Linked DNA regions of Rattus norvegicus. The protein of the gene in region 1 interacts with the protein of each later gene in a pairwise test. Links are inferred from orthologs where the notes say so. Each region holds a gene or a part of one and is shown in the gene's direction. Other genes may lie near its edges.

Evidence for each region.
Region 2: the proteins of Akap9 (region 1) and Pkn1 interact in a two-hybrid assay, tested with the Homo sapiens proteins (2 studies listed by BioGRID). The link is inferred for Rattus norvegicus from reciprocal best matches to the Homo sapiens genes AKAP9 and PKN1.
Region 3: the proteins of Akap9 (region 1) and C5h1orf94 interact in binary tests that used the Homo sapiens proteins (3 or more experiments, as listed by UniProt). The two-hybrid records come from large-scale screens. The link is inferred for Rattus norvegicus from reciprocal best matches to the Homo sapiens genes AKAP9 and C1orf94.

Annotation. Positions count from the first base shown.
Region 1 is NC_086022.1:31,144,503-31,148,874, reverse strand, and holds the start of Akap9 (A-kinase anchor protein 9), read left to right. Parts: upstream 1-1,536; 5' UTR 1,537-1,785; coding exon 1,786-1,833; intron 1,834-2,453; exon of another isoform or gene 2,454-4,372. UniProt on the Homo sapiens protein: Scaffolding protein that assembles several protein kinases and phosphatases on the centrosome and Golgi apparatus. Required to maintain the integrity of the Golgi apparatus. Required for microtubule nucleation at the cis-side of the Golgi apparatus.
Region 2 is NC_086037.1:41,363,818-41,367,412, forward strand, and holds part of Pkn1 (serine/threonine-protein kinase N1), read left to right. Parts: intron 1-117; coding exon 118-227; intron 228-312; coding exon 313-456; intron 457-3,361; coding exon 3,362-3,437; intron 3,438-3,520; coding exon 3,521-3,595. UniProt on the Homo sapiens protein: PKC-related serine/threonine-protein kinase involved in various processes such as regulation of the intermediate filaments of the actin cytoskeleton, cell migration, tumor cell invasion and transcription regulation.
Region 3 is NC_086023.1:145,607,467-145,611,679, reverse strand, and holds the start of C5h1orf94 (uncharacterized protein C1orf94 homolog), read left to right. Parts: upstream 1-1,385; 5' UTR 1,386-1,532; coding exon 1,533-1,846; intron 1,847-4,213.

The DNA of each region.
Region 1 (4,372 bases):
TTAGATTATAGGCCACTTTAACTGATTATGGGTTTGTTTTATGTTATTATTTCAAAGGACTTTTCATTTCGAAACTTACTTTATTGAACACATTTTATACATATATACTTAGTCCTTTAAAACCCCACTGTTGGGGCTGCAGGGATGGCTCAGTAGGGAAAGGGACTGCCCCACACGTGTGAGGAACAGAGTTTGCATCCTGGGCACGCTAATGCTGAACAGGCACAGCAACGTGTGCCCCGCAAGCTCAAGAGACAGAGATGGGTAGGACCTGTGAAGCAGGCTAGCTAGCTAGATTAGCTAATTTGTCAAGGTCTTAGTCCAGCAAGGGACCCCTACCTCAATATACTTTTTAAAAGTGACCAAGGAAGACTTCATGCCACCCTCCACCCCCCAGAAGCACATGAATGCATGACTTCCACATGTGTAAACATACATGGACATTTGCAGTCAAACTACACACAAAAGAGCCGGTGTAAATCCTGATGCTAATTTTGTTGTTCGGAGACCATAGCCCAGCTAAAGGAAAAAGACTCAAATTTGAGGGCTTGACATCAGCACCTTTCCTTACCCATCCATGGAAATTTGTCAAGTGATTTAACCACTCAAGCCTTGTTTCTTATTCTATAAAAGGAGGTATACAAATCAATATACTTTTCCTTTTGTTTGAATTTGTGAATAAATGACATGGAGACACGATTGAACAGGTATCAAATGTCCATGGGGGAGGAAAGATGGTAATAATCAAACTATAAGCACAGCCCAATTAAATGTAACAAAGTTTATTGAGCATAGTCTTTCACACTAGCCATTTCAAGTAAAGAAATAGAAAGGACAAAGGTTCGGGCGTTTTCACACACCAGAACAGTCATAAATATTAAACAGCTCGTCCAAAAACTCCAGGTAAAGTCAGAGAAGCATATCTGTTTTAAGGTCATTAATGTTACAAAGTTAGCGTAGCCCCTTTTGCTTGGAAACCCTTTTTCTAGCTCTTTACTCTGAGGCAATGTCTACCTCAGAGGTGAAGGGGAGAGGGGTAAATCTGGAGGGGTCATGGTGAAGGGGGGCTGGGAGGAGAGGGGGGTTGAGGTCAGGATGTAAAGTGAATAAATGAATGAATGGGAGGTGGGGGGGGGGAGGGAAAGTTGGGGTAGACTGGCTTTGTTCCCAACTTAGATTCCAAATTCGAGTTCCTTAGGAGAAGCCCCTAGGAGTGTCTCAGCTTCACTCCAAAGAACAAAGAGTTGGGAGAAGGCTTTGGCAATAGACTGTTCTTCCAGCGCGCCGCGAAGGATGAAGACTATGGGTTGAGAGGGAACAAGAGGGGGAAGTGAGGGCGGGATTTGGGGTTAGGGAAAGAGCAGGGGGCCCTCCGGCTTCCCCGGGTTGGGGGTCCCGCCCTCGCCCCTTCCACTGCGGCTTCTCGTTATGAGGCCGCTGTTGCTTTTGCATTTGGAAATGCAGTACGGCGTGTTACGCGAACTGAATCCCGGGAGGAGTGGGTGTCAGGCCGCCGGACCCTGAGCCCTCCGACCCGGTCCAGCCGGGCGGGCACAAGCACCTGCCGGGCCACGCTCGCGGCTGCGCCGACCGCCCGCTCCGCCCCGCCGGCCGCCGTGTGTTTACGTGGAGACGAAGATGGCGGCGGTGACCGCGGGGCCCGTGCAGCCTGGCGCGAGTCGCCGGTGAGCGCCTAGCGTGTCCCGAGTGGCCGCCGAGCTCTGTCCGCCTCTTTCTAAACAGATCTTTCCTCTCCACTGCGTCCCAGCCTACCCTGCAGACGCCATGGAGGACGAGGAGAGGCAAAGGAAGCTGGCAGCTGGCAAGGCGAAGGTAGGAGCGCAGCGGACGCGGGCCGCGTCGGGAGGCGGTGACCCGGGGCGGGGGCTGGGGGAGAGGCCCGGCAGCGGGGCTGGGGCTGGGGCTGGGGCTGGGGCTGGGGCTGGGGCTGGGGTTGGGGTTGGGGCTGGGGCTTTGGGGCTGGGGCTGGGGCTGGGGCTGGGGCTGGGGCTGGGGCTGGGGCTGGGGCTGGGGCTGGGGCTGGGGCTGAAGAGCCGCCCCCTCTTGCTGCTGGTGGAGACCTGATGACTGCACCGCCCGGCTCCCTTCTCCCCGGTGCCACACAAACCCCTCTCTTACCCCGGGTATAAACTGCTAAGGAATTGCTTTGCAGCATCCACCCTTTCACTTTCTAAAGGGAGTTTGGGGAGTCGATCAGGCATTGTGCTTTCGGGAGCGAGTGTTTAGGGTTTTCTTTATTCCGGGAACACCCCTGAGCTGACCATCAGCCTGCCTCCTTGAGGTGTCACGCTGGCACTCTTGGGTGTGTGTGATTGGCCTGTGACAGCTGCCTCGGCAGTGTCTTGAGTGTGCCACAAGTGCCATCTGCGAACTTGGCTGTAGGGGCGTTTTTTAAGAAGCGGTTCTTTGTATATTCGTGTTGGAGGTCTTTGTCATGGCACGCGCTTTTGTAGTGCGTGGAATGGAACTTCGGAGCATCTAAGGTTCCATAAACTAAACAACACCTATAGAATTGGTGTTTTTAAATAATGCACTTGTTATTATGTATTTGGTAAGTTTGATTTTTGTGTGGGCATGCGTGTATGGCAAGTCATGTAAACAATCTAGGCTAATATGTAGGTGTCTTTCAGTGGGCTTATTAAATAATTTGACACCGTTATGAATGGAATAGAATGATTTCTTTCTAAAATTACCTGGTTGAGCTTACCGTTGACCTCCTTGCTCCCTAAAATGAAGTTACCTTTAAGATATTATATTGTATTTTTTAGAATTGTTAGCAGTATGTATGTGTGTATATATATATATATATATATATATATATGGATAATTAAGTTATATTTTTCCTATTGTACTTGCTGGTTCTATGTCAACTTGACACAAGCTAGAGTCCTCAGAGAGGAGGGAAACTTAATTGAGAAAATGCCTTTTTAAGATCAGGCTGTAGACAAGCCCTTAGGGCATTTCCTTACTGATTGATAGGGGAGGGCCCAGCCCATTGTGGGTATTGCCAGTCTGGGCTGGTGGTCCTGAATTCTATAAGAAAGCAGGCTGAGCAAGTCAGTAAGCAGCACCTCTCCATGCATCAGCTTCTCCGTTCAGGTTCCTGTCCCGTTTGAGTTCTTTTCTTGACTTCCTTTAATGATGAACCCTGATATGGAAACGCAATAAGCCAAATGAACCCCTTTCCTCTCCAGATTGCTTTGGTCATGATTTCTCACCATAGCAATAGGAACCCTAACCAAGACACCTACCTTCCTTTTTTCTTCTCTCACATCATTAACAAAGGAAGCAAGCCAGTAATGAATGAAGGGCCCTACTGGAGAGATACAGTGGTACATGCTTAACACTACTTTGTTAAAGGAGTATGCAAATCGCTAACCTTGTATTTCTAGAGTATAGTTAGTTGACTTTCCCATAAGCACCTCTGTGTGAGGTCAAGATTTAAGTGTGTCTGTGTAGCATCTCTAAATGGAGGGAAAAAGCCCAGGTTTGCTTCCTGTTGTGCACCCTGAGGAACTGACTGGGCCCAGCGCATTGAGGAATTGGAGGTGTGCATTCCTTTCCAAACATCGAGGCTCTGAGGAGAGAGCAGTCCCCCCCCCCGCCCCCACCTTTTTTAGCAGAATCTTAGACTATAGTCCAGCTGAGCCTAGAGTTCAATGTGTAGTCCAGACTGGCTGACTTCAGACTCAGTGGCAATCCTGTGTTAGCCTCCAAAGTGCTAGAATTATGTGTGTGAGCTTCTGTGTCTAGGTAAGATATATGTCTTATTGACTACTTCATGATTTCTACTGCCTTTCCTAAAAACATTCTGTACTAAATATGTGTGGGGCCCACCTTCACTAGACCTGTTTTTATGATTAAATTGCTGTCAATAAATACCTGATTGATCTTTAAAAGAGGATTTGAATTTGGCTCCTATGCATGTTTCTTTGTCTTCCAACGTTCTGTCTCTGTGGGGTGGGGGAGACGATTGATTCACTGTGTGAACTTCTTGCTGTACATGCATGAGTACCAGGGTTCAAATTTCCAGCACCCACATAGAGCCGGACGTGGTGGCATGCATCTGTAACCCAGTGCCTGGGAGACAGTGACAGACAGACCCCTGGGACTTCCTGTCCGGTCTTCTAGCCAAAATACCAAGCTTGAGTTCATTTGGACCCTGTCTCCAAAATATATGTATGGTAGAAAGTAATAAAGGACACCAGCCTCTGACTTCTACAAGCACAGGCATATGCTCCCACACATGATACACCTCTAGGGACACAGCCTCTCTCTCAAAATTAATTTTATCTAAAATACTACTTTGTTCTAGAATCGAGCCTATTCTTCCCAGTGAGGGTTACATCCA
Region 2 (3,595 bases), on another chromosome or scaffold:
GTCGAATTAAAGGCTTTAGTGTGAAAGGCAAGTTAGCAGAGCGTCCAGGAGGGCCTCTGACAGGATTAGGAGCAAGCCCTCCCCTCCCTCTTTCCTGCTGCCCTCTCCTGGTTTCAGCTGAGGTCAGCACCGTGCTCAAGCTGGACAACACTGTGGTGGGGCAAACAGCCTGGAAGCCATGCGGCCCCAATGCCTGGGACCAGAGCTTCACCCTGGAGCTGGAGAGGGTGAGCTGTGCATGGGGGCACCGGGCAGTAGAAGAAGGGGAGTTGAGGCATCAGACACAGGAAGTGATGACCGTTTTTCCTCAAGGCTCGGGAGCTGGAGTTGGCTGTGTTCTGGCGTGACCAGAGGGGTCTGTGTGCTCTCAAATTTCTGAAGTTGGAAGACTTCTTGGACAATGAGAGGCATGAGGTGCAGCTGGACATGGAACCCCAGGGCTGCCTGGTGGCTGAGGTATGGCCTGGTTTCTGACTTCTGACCCTAAGATGTTTCCTGCCTCCTTGCCTCTGATTGTCTAGTATGGGGGAGATTAATTTCAGATGCTTCTGAGCCTTAATGGGAAGTAAGTTTCATGAAAGCTGGGATTGGTGCCAGGAGCCACACATCACACAGGAGGAAGAACCAGCAGTGACAGACCACATACGTGACAGTGCTCCCAGAAGGCTGTGCCTGTCAGTTGTGTGTTGGTCTGGTGATAGGTAGGGCCCAATGGGTAAAGTGCTAGCCTAGCATGCACAAAGCCATGGGCCAAATTGTTACTTCAGATAAAACTAGGCGTGGGTACTGGAGAGATGGCTCAGCAATTAAGAGCACTGTCTGCTCTTCCCAGAGGACCCATATTTGATTCTCAGCTCCTACATGGCCACTTAGAGCTGTCTGTAACTCCAGTTCTGGGGGATCTGACACCCTCTTTTGGCCTCAGTCACTAGGTTCACATGTATTACACAGATATACATGAAGGCAAAACACCCACATACATTAAGCAAGCAAACATGAAAGCTAGATGTCATACAGCCTTAAGCCACATGATGAGCAAGAGACAGGAATATAAAGACTTACCAAAAAACACAGCCAAAGCTGAGTGAGCTTTAATCCCACAGTGTGGGAGCAGAGGCAAGCAGACTTCTGAGTTTGTGTCCCAGGCCAGTCAGGTCTATAGAGAGCCCCTGTCTGAAAAATAGAAGAACAAGCCAGGAACATTTTCTGCCACTGCAGTCTAGTGAGGCCTGCCTCAGAAAAGCAAGCACTGGGTGAGCCTTGTGTGGTGTGCTGGGCTCACGCCCTCAAAGTTTCATCCCCAGCATCGCACGGCAGCAACAACCAACCCAACTGGAGGTGGGTGCTGGTGGGAACCTCACAGCAAGGGGTGGCTGCAGCTGACAGACTCTCCCAGAGTGCTGTTGTCACTGAGCCCACCATGTCGAGTTCTACCATGGATAGAATGTTCTGTCTGAACTGTAGCTGGTGTAGCTGGAAAGCAGAGTTTTTCCCACTGACGTTTTGAGTGATTTAAATTTGATCTGCACACATGGCACCTGCACAGGAACATCTGGGTCTAGAGACCAGCGCCTGCTGAGTTGGACTTGGAGGACTAGGCTAAGTTATCCTGGGATTCGCACATGGGCAGCCCCATCACCCCCAAAGGGCCAGGTTCCATCCCTCTTGGCGCTGATGCAGTCTGAGATAGGGGTCTGAGAGTGTATCTCTCAGGTCCCAGGTAAGCAAAGCATCTTTCTGTCACTGTGACAAATGCCTGAAATAATCAGAAAGAGAAAGGGTTATTTTGGCCCAGGGGCTCTGCCCATGGCCCCTTAGTTCAAGTGGAGGAGGCATGTGTACCCAACGGAATACAGAAGCAAAGAGAGACACAGGAAGGGGCTAGGCTCCCAATATCCTGTATGTGGACGTACTCCAGTGACCTCACTTCCTCCCACTAGGACCTGCCTCTAATGGTCACACCACCTCCTAAATAGAGCCATAGGTTTGTGACAAAGTCTTCCATACACAGGGCCAATTTAACAGCCATGCCAGATGATGCCATTGTGGCCAACCTGCCACTATACTTGGGAATCAAGTCAGGTGATGGCAGACTTGTTTTCCAGACTTCCATGTCAGTCTTGTGGGCATAGATGACTCCTTTCCCTTCAGAGAAGGGTCTGATTGCCTGCGTCCTCCCTTTTCAAGATGGAAGCCTGTCTCGGTTTGAATATGAAGGTTCCTGTCTTAGGTGTTTTTCCTGCGACTGTAGTAAAGTTCCCTAGCAAAAGTTTTAAGGAAAAGAGGGTTTCTTTTGGCTCAGAGTCCACCGTGAAGGGCAAGTCAAGCAGTCACACTGCATAGGAAGTGAGGTCAGGAAGCAGAGTGGTGAATGCCTGGTGCTCAACTTGCTTTCTCCTGTCCATACTGTCCAGGACCCCCGCCTAGGGAAAGGTGCCTCTCATAGCTTTGGTGGGTCTTCCCCAACAGACATGACTACCATAGGTAATCCCTCACAAGTGTGCCGAGAGGCTGGTCTAGGTTATTCTAGTCAACTTGACAACCAACTTTAACTATTTCAGTCCCCATGAAGACGCCTGTGTTTGAACACTTGTCCCCAGCTGGTGCTCTTTTGAGAGGTAATAGAACTCCGAGGAGGTGGAGCCTCACTGAGAGAAATGTCACTAGGGTTATCGTTAGGCCCTAGTCCTGCTGCTTTCTGTTCTTTGGCCATCTGAGATGTACCTGGGCTTCAGTCGTCTGCCACTGTGGACCCCACTGCCGGTGCTGCCGTGTCCTCCTTCTGTGACGGACTATATCCCCTCAGCTATGCCCAGCTTAGAGCTCCCCCTGCAGTTGTTTCTGTCAGGTCCTCTGTCACAGTGAGGAGAACACAGACAGCACTGAGGGCAGACAGTGAGCGCGCTGACCACCTCTCCCTGCTCACCAGCACTCTGTTACGTGACAAAATACTTGGGAGAGATAAAGGAAGCAGGGTTCTCTGGGTTCATGGTTTCCAGGCAGCAGCCGTTCATCCTGTTGCTTCTGGGCTTGTGATGAAGCACTCTGTGGAGTCGAGCTGCTCATGTGCTGACAGGAGACAGAAGGAGGATGAGGGAGTAGGTCTGGCAGCTAGAGACCTGCTTCTTTTAATGACACCCCTCCTTGTGAAGTCCCCTGCTCCCCAACGGTCTATCAAGCTCTGAAGCCATCACTGGGTGAATCCATGAGTGAAGTCCTTGACCCTTCTGTGCATAGCCACTGTCAAAGGCTTAGCTTTGCACGGCTGCTAGGCCAAGCCACGCGTCCTCAGGGACGCTTGGTGTCATAGGTTGTGGTGCATCTGTTCCTGCCACCACTGCAGCTGAGCATGTCCCCACAGGTCACCTTCCGTAACCCCATCATCGAGCGGATCCCTAGGCTCCAAAGGCAGAAAAAAATTTTCTCCAAGCAGCAAGGTAAGGAGGCCCTGAGTGAGCTGGGCTGGACAGCCAAGGACCCCAGGATGTCATGGGTGGTGACCCTACCCTTGCAACTTCAGGGCAGACATTTCAGCGTGCCAGACAGATGAACATCGATGTGGCCACCTGGGTGCGGCTGCTCCGGAGACTCATCC
Region 3 (4,213 bases), on another chromosome or scaffold:
CTTCTCCAGGCCAAGGCTATCTGCCTCAACTGTTTCTTCCTCCACCTCCTACTGGTTCTTCCCTGGGTGGACCCTTGGAGGAGTAACCACTGTTTTCGGGGACCAGGGAATGCTCGTCAAGTTCACGCTTTTTCAAAGGTGAAGCTTCTATGTGGAGGGGCTTAGGGGCGACGATCGCAGTCCGCACCGATATCAAAGGGTGCGACTTTTTCTCCCACCTCCGCCTGCCTCCCTGTCTCAGTGTTGGGGTTAGCTTGGGAGCCAAGGGCATTAGATCATGTCGAGTCCGAGCTTTGAATTCTAGCCTTGCTTCTTGAACTCAGGACACAACCATTTGCAACTTAGAGATTCAGCTTCCTTCCATCGTGTCCGCCGAATAAAAAGTAGTACAAACTAATGAGGGTGAACAGGATCAGGTTTAAAGTTAGCTCTTGGCATTCGGTGCTCCTGTGGGATGGCAGTTAGGATTAAAGCCAGTGGGGAAAGGGGACAGGTCCCCCACCTCTAGGCAACCTCTGAAGTTTGTATGTAGTGGTGGGATGGGAACAGTGTTTCACTTTGACTTACTTCTAAGAGGAAGCTCCCTGGGGTCTTTCCAGTCCCACCCCGCCCCCATTCCACCTGCGAGTCTCAGGGACGAACGCCCGGCCCGTGCCCCACCCCCGCGCACCCAGCCGTTGCGCTTGAACCCACTGAAAGAATCCCAGCTCTCGACGGCAGGGGTGTGGGAGCTACTGACACGCAAATCCGCTGACCCCGCCCGGGCCTGCCCTGCCCAATCGGCGGCCTTTTAAGGGTTGGGATCCTCTGCGGTGCGGGTCGCAGCTCTGCGCGGGGGACGCGACAAGTGTCCGCTGAGGACCTGGGCCAGGCCGACTACCGGCACAATACCGCATTGGACATTTCTTTTTTAGGGAGGCAGAGCAGCTGCAGCAGAGAGAGAAGGGGAAGCAGAAGGGGGCGACCGGGAGAGCTAAAGCCAGGACCTGCAGTAGGCGGGTGGGGGGCCCTCTGTGTACGCGGGATCCTTTGGGAAGGTGGGAGGAGACAGTCCCATGGCCGGCACCCACCCAGTCTAGTACAGTGCTCGGCCTTTACCCTGCCCTTCTGGTGACTTGGCAGGAGAGAATGGGCTGAGTCCCAGACCCTGAAAAGTCTCACAGGGGTGTCGTAACGGGGGAGTGCCGGGTCCTGTGGGGAGAGCCAGTCCTCCCCTCTAGTCGTTCCCAGATGTCATTCTGCCCGCCCAGGCGCTTGGTTCCTGAGTTCCGGGGCATTCCACGGTTACTAAGTTACTGGTTTTTGTTGACTTTTAAATATTTTCTTCTACGGGAGAGGGGGAGGGGGGCAAAAGCCAGGAAAGAGCAAATAAAAAGAAGTCAACATAAGCCCCCCCTCCCCAAAAGAAAGTTGCCCTCTACTCCTCATCCTCACCCAAACCGAAGGCCTCTGAAACCCATCCCTTGGCTGGAGCAACAGCCAGCCAGAACTGACTACTTCCCAGGTCCAGTCTTCAGCTCCCTTTCTGGTGAATGAGGGCTGGTGGAGGACAGTCCCTTTGTCTCCCAGCCCTGGGCGGACAAAGGGGCTTCCGAAAAGAGAGAAAGAGGATGGCCAGTGGAAATGGGCTCCCTCCATCCTCAGCCCTGGTGGCCAAGCGTCCCTCCGCCCTGGGGCCATTCCCCAGATATGTCTGGATCCACCAGGACACACCCCAGGATAGCCTAGACAAGATTTGCCATGACATCTGGAAGAGAGTTCAGGGCTTGCCTGAGTCCCTGCAGCCCAGGACCTCTCTGGAGAAGCTCTCTGCCCCGGTGACAGCCGCTGTCAGCTTCCAAGACGAGTGAGTAATCCCCTATTTGGTTGATTATCAAAGGCGGGGGGAATGAAGTCTGACTTTAGGTCGAAATGCTCTGGGCCAGTGTTAAGTCCTACACACATCTCTCCCCCAAGCCTCAACCCTCAACCCCGTTTCTGTAATCTGAAAAATCTTTCGGTTGGAGGAGCTGGCCAAGGTCCTGAAGTCCCAGATGCAAGGAAAGAAGCCATTTCTGGCAGCTTCTTTTCCAGTGACTAAGGAGAAGTTTCTTATTTTAAAGACATAGGTGGCTATGATGTAGATCTGGGGTCCCTGAAGATCTAAGGGTTAGGTGACTCATGACTGTCCCCAGAAGCAACTAGATGATCTTTTCCCCTATCCCAAGAAAAGTCCAGGCATTGGCACAGATGATTCTGGTGGTTGGAAACCACATCTGGAATCCCCTAATACAGAGAGCAGCTGTCCCATTCAGCATCCACAGAGCTACTGCAAGAGCGCACATCAAAATATTTACTGGGAAGGCATTGACATATTCAGAGGACATAATAGAAAATTAAAGTGTGGGAAGATGGCTGTAAATAGCCGGTTTCCCGGATGGGAAATCCCCTGTCGGGGAAGCACAGAGCTAAGTGTTTCAGTGCTAGGGAAAAGTTGAGGGGATAGCGTTGGGGCTGGCTATTGGAAAGAAGAGGAAGGAGCAGAGAGGAAGACAGGGATCTCATTAGGAAAAGGACTGCATCAGCTGTGGTGATTAATGCCACTGCAGAGTACTCTTTCAGGGTTCTGCATCTCCAAAGTGGGCTGCTCGCATTAATTAATCCTCCCGGCATCCCTATGAAACAGGTATTAGTGTCCCCATTTTACAGATGGATTAAGTGTTAATAATTAAGTGCTAATTAAAGCCTAAGTGATAATTAAATGTTGTCTGCCCCCAACACATGCTCCAACTCAGTTCATAGATGCTCCGGAGTGTGTGTGTAGGGGGCGGGGTGCATCCCGGCATTCATCAGCCGCCTCTGGTTTCAGGGCTCTCTAAGCATAGCTGAGGTGAAAAGCAATGTAGTGCTGCAGTCCCTATGCAAGCTCCTTTGCTTGCTGGAGATGAAGGCGGGAGGCATGCTGGCTGCTTCTACCTCCCCTGCCCTGTGCTCAGCAGGACCAGGCTCCGATGCAAACGGCCTTGCTCCATCCAGAATCCTGTGGCGAGTCCGTTCAGTGGCTCTGAGCTCCTTTGCCTCACCCATTGCCATCTGCTCCAGGACAAGCACCTTGGCACGGGGAACCTTGGGGCTGCACTCAGCTCTCTCAGTGGCCAAGTAGCTGATTGTCCACTTTCGGGATCAAAGGTCAGCAGCAATTTCCAGTAGATAGCCCCTTCCCTGCCAGGTCACACTGAATTCGTGGAGACAGACTCTACTTCCAGTCTGCAGTTGGCCGGAAATTGAACCGGCCTACCTTTGGCTCATTACTTCACTCCATTTGGCCTTGATTTCCTCATCTGCAAATTAAGGACGACGTGCCCTGCCTTGTCCACCTCAGAGTCGATAACGAGGGTCCAATGTGATGGGAAACTAAGAAAATGAAAGATGCATTATACAAACAAGGCCGCCTTAATATGTAGCTCGTCGAGTTTGGGGGAGGGGAGGCTTCACAGCTCCATGATCCAAGGAGCCTTCAGACAGCCATCCTGGAGTCAAGTGGGCTCCTACACACACACTCTACACACATACACACACCACACACACACTACCCACACACACTACACACACATACACACTACACACACATACACACTACACACACATACACACTACACACACATACACACTACACACACACTACACACACATACACACACTACACACACACCACACACACACACTTCAGCCTGAGCTCTTCAGGTGTTGGTCCGCTTTACTCACTGGAGTTCTGAGTACAGTTGCGATTGAAGGAGTTCTGAGGCTGAGAGGAGACCTGGGAATCTGCTGACTTAGATGAATAAGCCTCATCCTAACTGTATAGCTGTCCGCCCAGCAGAACACAATGAGCGAGGCAGCGAGCGCCGGAGTTGGATAACCAGGTTCGGCAGTGTGTGTGCCTCTGTAGAACCTGTGACTGCGAGGCTGATCTGAGCTTTGGTTTCCTCACTGCCATGGGGGAGTGACGGTAGGGGTCGCTGGAGGTGACAAATCAGGACTATTCAATGGTCCTGCTGGTAATTAGGATTGATAAACTCGTTCTAAGGACAGCAGTTATAATTTCTGTAAACCCTGCAGTCTTTGCATGAGGCAGTGAAGGTCCAAGTGTGTGTAGATGTAAATTTCCATAATTATCAAACTGTGCTGTTCTGGTTTAAATTGCTCCTCTCCCCCCCCACCCCTTTAAATGAAA